Linked DNA regions of Nothobranchius furzeri. The protein of the gene in region 1 purifies or fractionates together with the protein of each later gene. This does not show direct contact. Links are inferred from orthologs where the notes say so. Each region holds a gene or a part of one and is shown in the gene's direction. Other genes may lie near its edges.

The links. The genes of interacting proteins can lie anywhere in the genome.
Region 2: the proteins of lin28aa (region 1) and cdc5l purify together in Homo sapiens (affinity purification with mass spectrometry; 3 studies listed by BioGRID and IntAct, with this or other methods). This does not show direct contact. The link is inferred for Nothobranchius furzeri from reciprocal best matches to the Homo sapiens genes LIN28A and CDC5L.
Region 3: the proteins of lin28aa (region 1) and dkc1 purify together in Homo sapiens (affinity purification with mass spectrometry; 3 studies listed by BioGRID and IntAct, with this or other methods). This does not show direct contact. The link is inferred for Nothobranchius furzeri from reciprocal best matches to the Homo sapiens genes LIN28A and DKC1.

What each region holds. Positions count from the first base shown.
Region 1 is NC_091745.1:71,963,869-71,967,326, forward strand, and holds part of lin28aa (protein lin-28 homolog A), read left to right. Parts: intron 1-1,356; coding exon 1,357-1,541; intron 1,542-3,458. UniProt on the Homo sapiens protein: RNA-binding protein that inhibits processing of pre-let-7 miRNAs and regulates translation of mRNAs that control developmental timing, pluripotency and metabolism.
Region 2 is NC_091752.1:40,105,245-40,110,399, forward strand, and holds the start of cdc5l (cell division cycle 5-like protein), read left to right. Parts: upstream 1-1,730; 5' UTR 1,731-1,898; coding exon 1,899-1,943; intron 1,944-5,155.
Region 3 is NC_091758.1:16,263,010-16,268,451, reverse strand, and holds the start of dkc1 (H/ACA ribonucleoprotein complex subunit DKC1), read left to right. Parts: upstream 1-2,017; 5' UTR 2,018-2,096; coding exon 2,097-2,112; intron 2,113-3,029; coding exon 3,030-3,079; intron 3,080-3,158; coding exon 3,159-3,245; intron 3,246-4,806; exon of another isoform or gene 4,807-5,038; intron 5,039-5,442. Other genes in the region: cinp (cyclin-dependent kinase 2-interacting protein), read right to left, coding at 84-255, 1,360-1,387.

The sequences.
Region 1 (3,458 bases):
TACCTGTGGGAGAACAGCCTGACGTAGCCATGTGGTTGGTGCGAGTCACTGAGGGGGGTAGGGGGCGGTCACATGTGAGGAAGGAAGTGGACGTCCACATTTCCACTCTTATGTCATTTGGTTTTCACACAGTTTAAAAGGCTTCTGCAGCTCGGCTGTAGTCTCTACCGAACGAGGCTTAGTCTGCAGCTCTGTTCTGTTTCTAATCCCAAACAGCGTCTCCACAGATTGATGGCTTGTCTATTTGGAAATCTGACTTTGGCAAAATGGTTCCTCTTACAATAAATGGCTTTGTTTTGATTCCTGGAGGTTTCTGCAAATAAAGGAGTAATGAATGGATGCAGCTTTGCGCCAGGTGGAATCAAAGAAAGCAGATTACGGTCTATCAAAACAAAGTTGCCAAATTAATGGACGGCTCTTTCAGTGTAAACAGTTTTCAGTGTGCGTGACAATTTGATCCCATGGTCCCACCTAGGGATTTTCATCCAGGGGTTTCCCATGACGTGTTAACCAGGATTTATCCTCAAACCTGCACCACACCTTCCCTTCCTTTATCTCTGGTGTTTCTGTGGGGGGTGGGGATGTTTTTTCTGCACATGGTGAGCTCACTTCAGGTGAGTGTTGTGTCAATAAAAGAAGTAATTCAGCATTTAAACCCCCCCCCTGCACATTTTAAGGCTGATTTTGTTTGTAGTGAAGAAAAAGGGAAACATGCTAAAACTCTGCTATCAGGTGGAGATATCAATCATTCCTGTTTTCCTTCAGTTTCTCCGTCTTTCTGCCAAACAAATATCCGAGGAATGTCACCCTGATCCCCCCCCCACCCCCCCAGCTCACACAGAGAGGCTTCACCACCTCGTCACCCCACCCCCAACACGAGCACCCACCCCTGCATCCTGTAGTTTTTTTAGGGTGGTGGTCAGTGTGTTAGTGGAGCTTTGTGATGTGGGTGGGAAGAGGAGTGGGGGGTGGGGGCTGCGGTGAGGAATGCTGTTCCTCCGGTGGGGGGGTATCTTCAGGTTCTCTGCTGTAGAAAATGAAGCTTTAAGGTGCTTTTGTCATGCGTGATCCTGTTTAGGAACCACTGGGTGTAAACAATGAGTTCTATCGGGGGGGGGGGGGGGGAATACCTGATAAGTGCAGTTCTGATCATATCACACAACAAGAGGAGGTCAAAGTCTCCACAATCTGGAGGCTTGTCTAACATCTAATTATCACCAATCAGCTGTTGCATAAACAAAGGCAGGATGGAACCAAAAATAGTCCTTTAACCTCTTATGGCGTCAAATCAGAGATACTTTCTTAATCCCAGAGGGAAATTCTTGGTCATTGGTTTGTTTCTTTGTTTCGCTTCAGAGCAAGTTGCATATGGAAGGTTTCCGCAGCTTGAAGGAAGGTGAAGCTGTCGAGTTTACCTTCAAAAAGTCGTCCAAGGGCCTGGAGTCTCAGCGGGTCACCGGGCCCGGAGGAATCCACTGTGTGGGCAGCGAGAGGAGGCCCAAAGGCAAAAAGGTCCAGAAGCGCCGCTCAAAGGGAGACAGGTGAGCTGGAAAAGTTTGGAATGTCTAAAGACTTAGGCTGTTTTTACAAAACAAGGCCGTTGATTTGCCACAACGCTGAACCGGCGTTGGGCCGCTTATAAGTAGTCAAACGGACAATTACTGCAATGTTACTACCAAGCAAGGCGGAACGAATGTCGCAAAATTCGCGCATCGCCATGCCGCGTTTAGGAGACGCACTGTTGCGGTAATATTACGCTGATTTGGCGGCACGGTGTGTCTCGTAACAAGTTCACTGGCTTGTAATCAGCTCTACTTCTGCCAAGAGAAATCCAACAATTCCCTTTAAGTCATGGATTAGTGATGAGGTAGACATCCACATACGCCTGGCTAAAGATGTTAGGGAAATTCTTCAGAAAGACCCTTTTCCTCAGGAATATTTGAGCTTGTTTATTTTTAAAACAACAATGAGGTATAGCTTTAATCATCGATCCAAAAGCAATCTCCCCATTCCGCTTGTGGCCATGTGTAAAATGATGTTGCTTTCATTTCCTTTTTTTGGGGCCTTTTCCCTCAAACCCAACCCCCCACTCCCAGCCCCGGCAAGGGGTCACATCAGCGGGCCTGACGTGTGACCCGGATCAATAACTGTTTAAATCTGCTGCTCCCTGGTGAATTCAAACCTGCCCGCTTTCTCCCTTCTGTTGCTAAACCTCTGTCACCGAGAAAAGAGGGCCAGATTTTCTAAATGACCCAAAAAGTGTCAAGTAAACAAAACCGGAGGGAAGCTTGGGTCTGTTTTTGAAGCTTGGGTACGACGTGAGGTTAAGGACGCCTCAACTTCACCTAATGTCAGCTGTGATTACAACCAGAGAGAAGTGAGTGTGAGAACAAGGATCATTACCGCTTCAAAGAGTCCTGGGAGGCTGCTGTGGTTCAATACGTCTTCATAAACCTCCCAGATTCGTGGATAAGGCTCCTTCATCATGTTTCATTATGCAGCGCCGGGCGGAGCTTTCTGGATCTGCTGCTGTGTAAAGGAGCATAGAAAACCCCTTTTGAGTGGTGTAATCGGTTGTTTTTGCTAGTTTTTAACTTTAGCCCGCATTTCATAAAATACCTGTGTGTGTGTGTGTGTGTGTGTGTGCGTGTGTGCGCGTGTGTGTGTGTGTGTGTGTATCATTGGGGGAAAAGTTCCTGTCCATTTAATTGATAACAGATGCAAGAGCTCAGGCAAAGGGGGTGAAGGGTCATTGTTGTCATGACAACCGTGTATGAATAAAAGGAAGAGAGCTGGGGGCTCTGAGAGAATTTGGGGGAGGAGGTGGGAGGTCAGGGTTCAGAGGTCATTACTGCAGCTTTTTTAGACAAAGGGACCACTTCCACTTTCCTCCTGATGGATGCTGATGTAGGGAGCTGCTGTGATGTGACGGTGAAGACCTTGACACCACTCAAACGCCCAACGTTACAAAGTCCCCCCCCCCCCCCCCCGCCTGACAGCCGCCCCGTCCAAACCTCATCTGCTACCACAAAAGTGTCAGAAGTGGGAGGGGGTCCGCAAAGTCAAAGAATTACCGCCTGACGCCCACAGTCCATCTGTCTTCCAGCCCTGTACGCGTGGCCATTCTATAGATTATGTCGGAACCGTGGTGGCCGATGGCACCCCGATGGCTCCAAATGACCCTAACACGGCGTTCACTTTCTAAAGTTCAATGGCGACGGAATGGATGCCACACTTTGGTACAATGGAGGCCAGTCAGATGCTTCTGTCAGTGTCAAACTGATAAATAAGACAAGCTGTGCACACTAAGGTAAATGATCCCTGGAAACTGCTTGGAAACGCAGAAGAAGAGGTCCACCTGCTCCAAAAACGCCTGAATGAGCACTACAATCTTGATGTTTTGAAATCTTCCAAAGCTTCATTTTTGCCTATCGTAAAATTTGCTGTGGCCTGGAATG
Region 2 (5,155 bases), on another chromosome or scaffold:
GCATTGCTTCAAAATCCAGATTTCATACCTCCATTTTATGTTCTTTGACTAACTGGGATCTTTTTATATAATGGGTTTTATTTCTCCATATAAATTTGTATATAATAGCGTTAATATTTTTCACTGTTTTTGGAGCGATATAAAGGGATTGACATGGATAGATCAATTGGGAAATACCCTCAGACTTGGACAATAAATGTCAACCCAAAATAGAAAGATCTCTGCTAAGCCATTGGTTCAGAGATTTTTGTATTTGATCAGTTTTTTCTTTCATGTTGATTTCTTCTCTTTGTTTTTCGTCTGCAATTATCTTAACTCGTAGATATTTTATTTCTTTTTTAACAGGAATTGACATTATCTCATTATCTGTGCATTCATACAGTGAAAGTAACTCACATTTTTTTGTGTTCAGACGAAGACCTGATGCTTTGGAAAAAATTGAAATAATTTGTAATGCCTTGTTAACCATAGATTTATCCTTTAGAAAAAAAAACTGTGTCATCTGCAAACTGACTTAAACGAAATTCATAATCAAAAAAATTTATACCCTGAACATTTGGATGATGTATTACTAGATATGCTAATAGTTGTGTACATAAGATAAACAGCTTGGGGCTGATTGGACATCCTTGTCTTATTCCACAAGTTATATTTATTCTTTTTGTTAGTCCTGGGTTTAAGGTAACATAACTGATAAAATCAGTATAGAACATTTTTATCACTGAACAAATTTTTTTTTTCCAAAACCGAAATATTCTAGGGTGGAAAATAAAAAAATATGTTCTATAGAATCAAAAGCTTTGAAATAGTCTATAAATAAAATGAGGCTGTCAGTTTCCAAAATAGACCTATAATCCAGCATATCCAGTACTAATCTTACATTATTATGTATGCTTCTTCCTTTTATAAACGCAGACTAATTATCATCTACTATTTCATCAATTACCGTTTCCAGTCTTTCTGCATATAATAGCGCTAATAATTTATAATCATTGCACAACAGAGTAATTGGCCTCCAGTTGTCTAAGTCTGTTGAATCTTTTTTTTGGTTTGGGAAGAAGGGTTATTATTCCAGTTTTCATTGTTGGGGTAAGACATCCTTCATTTATACACTCATTAAATGTACTTAATAACAATTCTTGAACATCTTCCCAAAAAATTTTAAGAAATTCCTAGGTCAATCCATCAATACCGGGCGATTTCCCATTTTTCATTTTTTTTCAGGGAATTTACTACTTCTTTAATATTCAAATCATCCTCCAGATTTTTTCTGTCTTCCTCTCCAATAGATTTAATATTGTTCTTTATCTGAGTGAAGAAGGATTTACATTCCTCTTCACAGAAATTAGAACTATATAGGTCTGAGTAAAAACGTTGAACTTCCTCCTTTATTTGATTTTGGTCTACTATTACAGTGTCATTTTTTCTTAATTTGCATATTTTCTTTTTGTATTGTCTAGACTTTTCTAATCCATAAAAATATGTTGAGTTCTTTTCGCCTTCTTCAATCCACTTAGCCCTGGATCTTACAAAGGCTCCGTCCATTCGCTTTTTCTATATAAATTTCGTCAAGCTGTTTTTGGAGCAAGTTTAGCTCTCTTAGTTCATCCTCCGTGTTATTAATTTTATCACAGAGTAGGATGATTCTTTTTAGCAGTTCTTTTCTTATAACTGCTAAGAACTGCTGAAGGCAGTTTTCTAGTTAAAAAAAAACTTTACAGAAGTACCGGAAGAGGAGGAGACTTCTGACAATATCCGGTTCATGGTAGTTTCCTTCCTCGTACAGCGCATTGCGTCTCCGTTGGTTTTGTTTTATTACAAATTCTCCCGAACATCAATTTTGTGAAGAAGTAGTTTTCATATTCGGTTGAAGAGGGAGACATCAGCAGACCGCAAAGATGCCGCGAATTATGATAAAGGGTGGCGTTTGGCGCAACACTGAGGTACGTGTTTACGGTTAGCACGACGCTAACCCTTAAACAGTAATCCAATGCATCAGTTAGCATGAAGCTAGTTACCCATAACTGGATACAGTTTACATTGCTAGGTTAGTTTATATGTGACTGGGCAGCGACATTAAGCAGTTTATTACGTACCATTAAGCTTGTCTTGTAATTTTCTTAACTAACTGATAACCACGTGATAAGTAAATAATGATCTTGGCTTCGTTTGAAAAAGCACGTTCTCGCGAGAGAAACTTGTAATCATAAAGTAAGTAAAAGTTAAACTGGAAAAAAAAAAAAGACCAGAAACCAAATCTAAAAAATTAAGGTTACATAAAAAATATTTCTTGTCTCTAATAATTTCGATTTTTCAACGGCAGGATAGCTTTACCTAGCGAACCCTAGCTAGCCTAAATTCTTACCTTTATTACTAAATTTAACTCTCATTGTTTTACAAACCGAATCCTTGGCATTGTTGCTGAAGTACTTATAGGGCAGTCACACATTAGTAGTCTGTACACATATGCATACTTTTTGGGAGGGCGCAAGACCAAAAAAACATCTTTTAATAAACAAACCAAGAGAAAACTAAAATTTCTGGTTATGATTACACATTTTATCTGGTGATTTTCAATTTTTTCTCCATCAGTTATTTTATCTATTCAGAATCCGACGTACAAACAGTGATGGACATAAACAAAAAACAAGTGGAAATGATCATATTTGGACAGTCTGACTACCATTCTGGTCTCTCATATTCATTCATCTGCTAGATTGCTGTGTGTCATTTTTTTTCAAACTCCATCTTTAAATCTGACGAACAGGTCGGTCGTCAAGACAACAGTCATCAAACTTGTACTTATTAACAAAGTTAAGTCCTATATATCCCATTTGAGACAGCAGTTCATCCCTTTATCACATCTTCCCTGGAGTTTTCTACATTGCACACACACGTCTCTGTCTGTCTTTGTTCAAATGGCATTAAGTTGTTCTGCATTTGACGGGAAGGAAAACGCATCCCACTTGTACTGGTTTCCATACACTGGATTTCTGTCCAGTTAAGGGGTTCAGTTTAAACTTCTGTCCCATGTTTTATTTTCCTACTCCTTTGTTGTACCACATTACCTCCCAGAGCTTCTCCACCATCTCTCTCCAGCCAGAGCTTTAGCATTCACACATCAGTTACTTTTGGAGCCTCTGAGGTCTAGACTCAGAACTACAGGTTGACCCATATTGTTTTTTTATTGCTGAGACTGATATGAGGCGGTCATGGTCAGCCAATGGCCGATAAGTGCTGCTTATTTTTTGGAGCTGATTTTATGGCCGATATCTTGGTGTTTGGCACCTTCTCTGAATGCTAAATGATCACTAAAAACAACAGTGAACGCACAACATTTCTGAACCTAAACTGTTAACACTGCATTTAACTAACTGTTGAATCTTAATTTTGTGCACAGCTCAGTGTTAAAATCAAACATTTTAACAGGATTAGTGAAAATGCCAATAAACTGACCAAGTACTAAATATACAAAACAGGCAAAAGAGAAATGCAAGTTGATAATGTTTGACAATGTTTTTAAGCAGATGTTTTTCAGGGATGCAAATTTACACATAAATATACACAACTTTAGAATAGGAAGATTAATTCTACTGAATAAATGTATAATGATTTAATAATCGATAACACTGAAAACACCAGCAACATCTAAAGTATATTCAGTCTTTAACTCACTATATCTTGAAGAAAGGAAGAAATCTATCTTCTATAAAGTGCCTCTCAAGAAAAAAGAGGCACTTCACAAAAATTAAAACATAAAAAAGATTATTTTTAAGTACATCTTCATGTAAAATATGAATGAAACTCTTCAGTGCTCTTGACTCAGCAGCATCTTCTCTTTAACCCCAGAGATGAGGAACGCTCAGGTTGTCGTTTTATTTTTTACCTTTGTCCGCTCACCAGCCGCCTGCTGATATAACCGCCATGCTGGATCTGACTTTTAGTGAGCCATCAGACAGGAACTTAACAGGAGAAACAGTTGTTAGTATTTGTGTTGAGCATCAGTCTTCAGTCTGTAGCAGAAAGAGCAGACGGCACCAGCACTGTATATATTAACTCATTCACTGCCAGCTGTTTTCTGATCGGTAAAGCCCTTCGCTGCCAGCGTTTCTCACCGTTTTTACAGTTTTTTTAAGAGTCACAGAACGTTGCGCGCTAGGATGATGACGATGCCAAAACAAAGAGTAGACTCACCTCTTACATCAGGAAGAATCCGCGCGTTGCGAGCATTATCCATTCTTTCATAATCCGTTGATGAATTGTGATTGTGAATTGCGGCAGAAGCTTTTCCGGTTTGCGCCTCACTTTTTTTTACCGCGGCGGCCCAGAAAGATCTAACACATGGGTTTTCTGCTTCCTGATCACGTGACGTATGCGGATGAAAATCGGCTTTAGAGCTGAAATGTTTGTTCTCACGGTGCGGGGGTCTCGTTCCGACGCCCAAACAGTATGCAAATGACTACTTTAGCCGTCATTGGCAGTGAATGAGTTAAATGTATCAAATATTAGAGAAACTATATAAAAACCAGTGCACCCAAACTATTCACTAGTGTTACTGACTGATGTTAGCCTAGGGAACTAGACCAAATTCTTGCTTTGCAAAGTTTGGTCTAGGCACGCTCCATTGGAACCTCCGCAGCTCCTACCAGGACTCTGGCTAGCCAAGCACAGCTCTCTAGAGGGGTTTCAAACGCACAAAGAGCTGTGATTGGTCCATAATGGTGGGCCAATCATAGTGCTCTATCTGCTTAGTGAACAAATCACAGAGCTTTATCCGCTTTGTGGGCCAATCAGGGCACTCGATATGCCTGGTGGGTGGGATGATGCAACAGAGTGAAACAAGAGTATGTCACATTCATTGTCCAGTGGAATGCGGAGATCATTTGAAAGACAACGGTAGAACCCGCCCCACAACCGAGAGCCGTCAATGGAGCATGGCCAGACTAAATAATACATTTATTTAGTCTGGCTTGCCAGGCTAGCTGATGTTAGATTTTACGTGGAAATGAACCATACAGATTAAAAGTAGTCTCTAGTCAGAACACGTCTCTGCTGTTTCTGATCACAGATTACACACTAAGCAGAAAAACACACGAGCTTGCATTTATATAGCGAACATTTTCTGTGTTTTCTTCACTGTGTCATCCAAGTAAAA
Region 3 (5,442 bases), on another chromosome or scaffold:
CTGGATCCCAGAGGGTATCTAGTGTGTGTGTGTGGGGGGGGGGGGGCTAACTTAGAGAAAAATAACCTAAATAACAAACTCACTGCCTCATGTTGACGATACTTGCTGCCAAATTGAATCCTTCGTCGTTCAGCCTGTCCCACCTGAGCATCAGGTTGTGCCAGTCAGCGGCGTTGTCTCTGATCTTCCTTGCACTTCCTGTGATCCAGGTGCACCTCCTGTTTGATGGGGTCGCTGAGGTGTCACAAGAATCACCTAGAAACCGTGAATTTGTGTTATTTCTCCTTTCATGCAGTGAAACGGAGCACACACACACACACACAGAAATGATTTGTTTGTCATACAAAGATCTGCTAAACTAGCTTGGGTAGACAGGTTTGTCCCCCTTAAAGAGACATTTGTCCTTTTGGTTTAACTTCACTTCACATCAGCCATCATCTGACCCGTTTGAGGAGTCATGCTGCAGCTGGTTGGGCCAAACTGAACCTGGACCACAGAAACATTAGCTGTCAGATGAGCTCACAAAGGTCAGGGGTATTAAAGGCCACGGCTCATAGACCGTCTCCAGGCAGCTTCATGGTCCTGGGACCTCAGCTGACAATTTTAATAAAGTAGGAGGTTGATGGGAATGTGGGCAACCACTAAGAACGTGGATCCGAGATGAGATCCACTCTCAGGTTGATCAGAAGGAAGAATCAGACAAACAATGCATCCAGGACTGTTGAAGCCTTTCTGATCCCACCATGAGGGGTTGAAGACCCAGGAGGATTCCTGGTGACAGAAAAACCCAAAAGAACAGACTAGAGATCACCAAAAACCACACTGACGAGCTTCAGGGAGAGCATCATTTTGATTGATGAGATGGAAATCGGCTCTAGAAACACTGTAGAAGATGGAGGAAGATCAGTTCTGTTCTGGACTCACTGCACCTGGACCAAGGATTCCTGAAAAGGTTCAGGGTCCAATCCCAGGACCACCAAGACCCTCTGGAGCCAAATCTACTGTCCAGAGTCTATCATCAGAAAACACAGCTAGGAACACCGAGAATGGATCAGAACCAAGCACTGGACTGTTCTGAACTGATCTAGATGCTGTTGAACATCTGTGATAAGAGCAGAAACATCTGGAGAAAGAACACCTGGAGCAGTGTGGCCACGAGTAATGGGACAGAATACCTGCGGACAGGAACGATCTAAATAAGTTGTCCTAGTGAATGTTGATGAGGCAGCTGGGTTCTGCAGGGTTTCATTTACAACCCTGCAGTAAAACATCCACACGTCATCAGAATGTTTTAACCCGGAAGCTGCAGGTTATTCAGACCTGAACAAAAACTACTTCACTAATCAAGAAGATCCTCACCTTCCATCTGATCCTGAAGTTCTCGCATAAAATCCAGCTGAATTATGCTGAGTCTTCTTCTTCTTCGACGTTTGTGGGTGGTAGCAGTGCAGCATTACTGCCCCCACCTGGCCTGGAGTGGACACACGTTTATCAAACAATAAAAAAGGAAGTATTTTTATTGGATCTGCAGCTGTGGACACTCAAATTCCACTACGCGGAGATAGTGGGATTTTGGGGTTAACTGTAAACACTGATCCGTCCCGTCTGCCGTCCGGGTGGACACTGAGGTATTTATGTTCCTCCGCCACCTCCACCTTCTCTCCCAGGATGGAACAAGCATTTAGCATGTTCCCGTTTCTTCTAAAATCCGCAGTCATCTCATGTTTTTTCCGTTTTTTAACACACTATTGCACTAGAGGCCCACCAGTGATCTGTGTCTCACTACTTAATGACAGACTTATCTGACTCCAAATATCACTGGCCTTTTTTAGTGTTTATTTCCCCCCAGGATGCTAGTTAATTAAAGAAGAGCATTAGAACCACCGAAAGAAAAGTCAGAATTATTTTTCACATTTATTTTTTTCCATTTTATATTTAATTATGTAAAAATTGTATTTAAATAGCAAATTCATTTATTTATTTACCTCATTTGGTTTCATTTCTGCTCTGTGACCAGTTGGTGGCGGTAGTGCACCAAGTACTTTCGTGCCAGCCGCCATAAAACATCAAGCAGAAGAAGAATCTTTCATTAGAAGATGGCGGACGAAGCTGGTGAGTGTCGAGCACGTTTTGTAAGCGACAGTCTGTGTTTAATTTATTGCTAAGTTTGAACATAATTCTGCTGAGTCAGGGATTTTATTAACAACACGTCCACGTGCACGTACAAGCGTGTTTTACGCAGAAGGAATCGCAGTAAAAAAAATTCCTAAGTTGGTCTATGAGGAGGTTTGGCAGCGTCTGAGCCAGTTAAAACAAACAAATCCCTCCACGTGTCCAACATGCTTTAGTAGTTGGGTTTAATTCAATAACAGAACTAAGGGTTTGCTCTGTGGACTCGTGTTTTCTTCATAAGCTCCAGCAGCGTTTAGTGTAGTTAACTTTGAGAGAGCGGGTTCTCGGTCAGTGGCCTGTTAGCTCCGCTAGCAGCCACGTGCGCTCCACCACGTGCTGCAGCTGCAGGCCACGTGGGCTCTATATCATTCATTTACAGTTTTCCAAATTTACCAAACTGCAACAGGGATTTAAATTTCTGTTCCTTCAGATAAAATACTTTCTTTCGGTCGTACTTTTTCCACTGAAAGGCCCTTTTGGGCTCAGAGTTGCACTGGAGCAGGGCCCATCTCCAGGGCCACCATGCTGCACGTGCTGCAGGTTTGCTGCTCCTGCACACATGAAGGTAATCGCCTGGATAAACCTGTTGAACACTCTTTTAAAAAGCAGGTGTAGTATGGTCCCTGGAGTTAGTGACCTTTAACCTGAGGTTACCTGGGACCAGTAACCTGTTATAATGCAATGTTCAGTTCCCGGTGGGCATGAAGACTCGTCTAGAATATTGGTGAACACTTGAGCAGTCTGGCTAGTGACAAAACACCACTTAGGGCCCGGTAGATTGTTGTTCTCTGAGAAAATCCTGGAATTCTGATTTTAGGAAGGATTTATGCTACTTTAGTTTGGTTTTTATTTTGCAGCATCCACAAAGAAGAAGAAGAAGTCGAAGAGAGTGGCTGAAGATGTTGGGGTTGGTGTGAATTTATTCAACTTAAGATCTATTTGGAGATTCTCTTCCTGTTGAACAAACTGATGTTTTTATTCAACAGGAGATCCAAGAGAGTCAAGAGTTTTTAATCCAGCCAGACACCAAAGTCCCCACTTTGGACTCCTCCCAGTGGCCCTTGTTATTAAAGGTCAGGAACCCCTCCTCCTGTTTGTGCCTGCTGACATGTTTGACCCTGGTCATGTGATATGATGAACTGGTTTATCCATTCTCTGAGTGCTGTGGGCCTGTTGTGGTCTTTGCTTCTGCTCCGTTCTGGATCAGAGCTTCTCCTGCGGCTGCTAGAGGGGTCTCGGCGTTCTGCCTGACCACGACCAGTAGCCGTCTGGGGAATGACCCCACTTGACCACAGCCAAGACGACCTCCTATTCTGATCACATTGACTCTGTGCTATAAAGCATTTGTTATCTGCTCTGTTTAGTGACATGTTTGTGGTTTCATCTGGTGTAATGAGTTGACTCGACTAGAACCCTGTTGGAATCGGCTCTAGCTGTCAGACAAGCGTTTCCCCTGGGAATTTTTCCGGTGGTGGTGCTGGGGGGAGAATGATTGACAAGTCTCACCTTTATGTTAATATTAAAAACCCTTCTACACCCCTGCTTAGTAGACTTAATGAAGTATTTTTAAGCCAGTATAAAAATGACTGAAACAAAAATTTACATATTTGGCATTATTGACCCATATCTTTGATTTAATTTGTGTTAAGAACATCAAGATGCATTACAGTGAACATTATAATAAAGTAAATTTTTCTAGTGCAGAGAGGAGACAACCCATAGAAGCACTGATTTGATCTCATTTCAGAGAAAAATAGAACAGGTTAGATGCACCTAATAAATAAAATTACTAACAAACTCAGGAATCTGTTTCTTTGCTTCATTGTTCTGGTGCTGAAAATATCACTAATGCGGATCAAAGGAGATACACAGATGAATGCACCTCTTATTTATTATTTGTAAATTAGTGGGTGTGGTTTACATCAATGCATTATTTTAAATCTGAAATTGGATTGATCAGAAGTTGATATGTGTATTGTTTATCTGAAAACTATTTACAGAGCAGCCTCAGAACTGAGATTAAATATTTTTGATCACAATAGTAAAGAAACCATTACAGAACAAGTTTTTCAGTAAAATCAGAACATTAATGTTTAAGTGCATGAATAAATGCATCTGAACTCATGCAGTAGGAACTAGGAAATATGAAATACTAGAATTTATTTTAATTTGATTAAACTGATTTTTTCCTCACATTGTTGGCATTTTTCCCACACACGGTTAAACAAAACTATGTTGACTGAGGTGTGTGTGTGTGAGTGAGAGAGTTAAAATAAATACATTAAAAAAAAAACCTGAGCGGAGGCAGTGACCGACGCATGCACAAGCCGTTTTCAGCTCTGTCTTGTCTAGAGCTGAAACAACTAATCGATTATAATCGATTATTAAAATAGTTAACAACCTTTTTAGTCATCGATTAGTTGTTTAATAATCATATTTTACCGCATAAAGTCTATTTTTTACCACAATCTGACATCGGTTACAAGCTGTTAAATTTGCCGCCAGTGTGTGGCAGTAATGAGCCACTGATCTACCAGTGGAGCCGTAGAAGAAGAAATGAGCCAATGAGTGCCCTCGGTTTTCATGACGTATCACGTTACTGACGCTCATCTTGCTGTGAGAGATGGCGGAACAAGAGGAAATACGGAAGAAAATAGAAGCGACAAAACTTTAGAGAAACCCCGGACAAAAACCTCACGAGTATGGGAGCACTTCAGTCTAGATGCCTTGAAAAGGCAAAATATGCAAAAACCATCTAGCATGGCACGGAAGCACGACGTCCCTAAGTGAACATTTGAGACGAAAACGTGGGGGCTGAGGAAGAGCACCGCGGTCAAGTGAGCCGTCATTTGGAAGAGCCAGCCCGGTAAGTAACAGAAAATAAACAAGCTGGACTTAGTGTTTTAGCTGAGTTCGTTATAGTGGATGTTAAACATGTTTTTTTGTCGCGTCAGTCTACGGTGTTCTACTTCTGATTGACTAGATGCAATCGTGAATCTCCTCCGTGTTGTGAATCATGCGCTTGCCAAATTCAGCACGTCTGTTTATAAGAATGTTCTAGTTAAGAGAAAAACGGCACAAACCCATAACTATGTTCCTCATTCAAAAAAGGACAACTCTGCGGTGAAAAATATACAGACGAGCTGTGTCCAGGTGAATATAACGCGGCATAGTTGTACGCTTTCAATTTTTAAATACAGGAGAAATTCAGAAAAAGTCATTTTTTTACTATTAAAAGGCTGTTTTACTGTCTAACGCTGTAAAACGCCT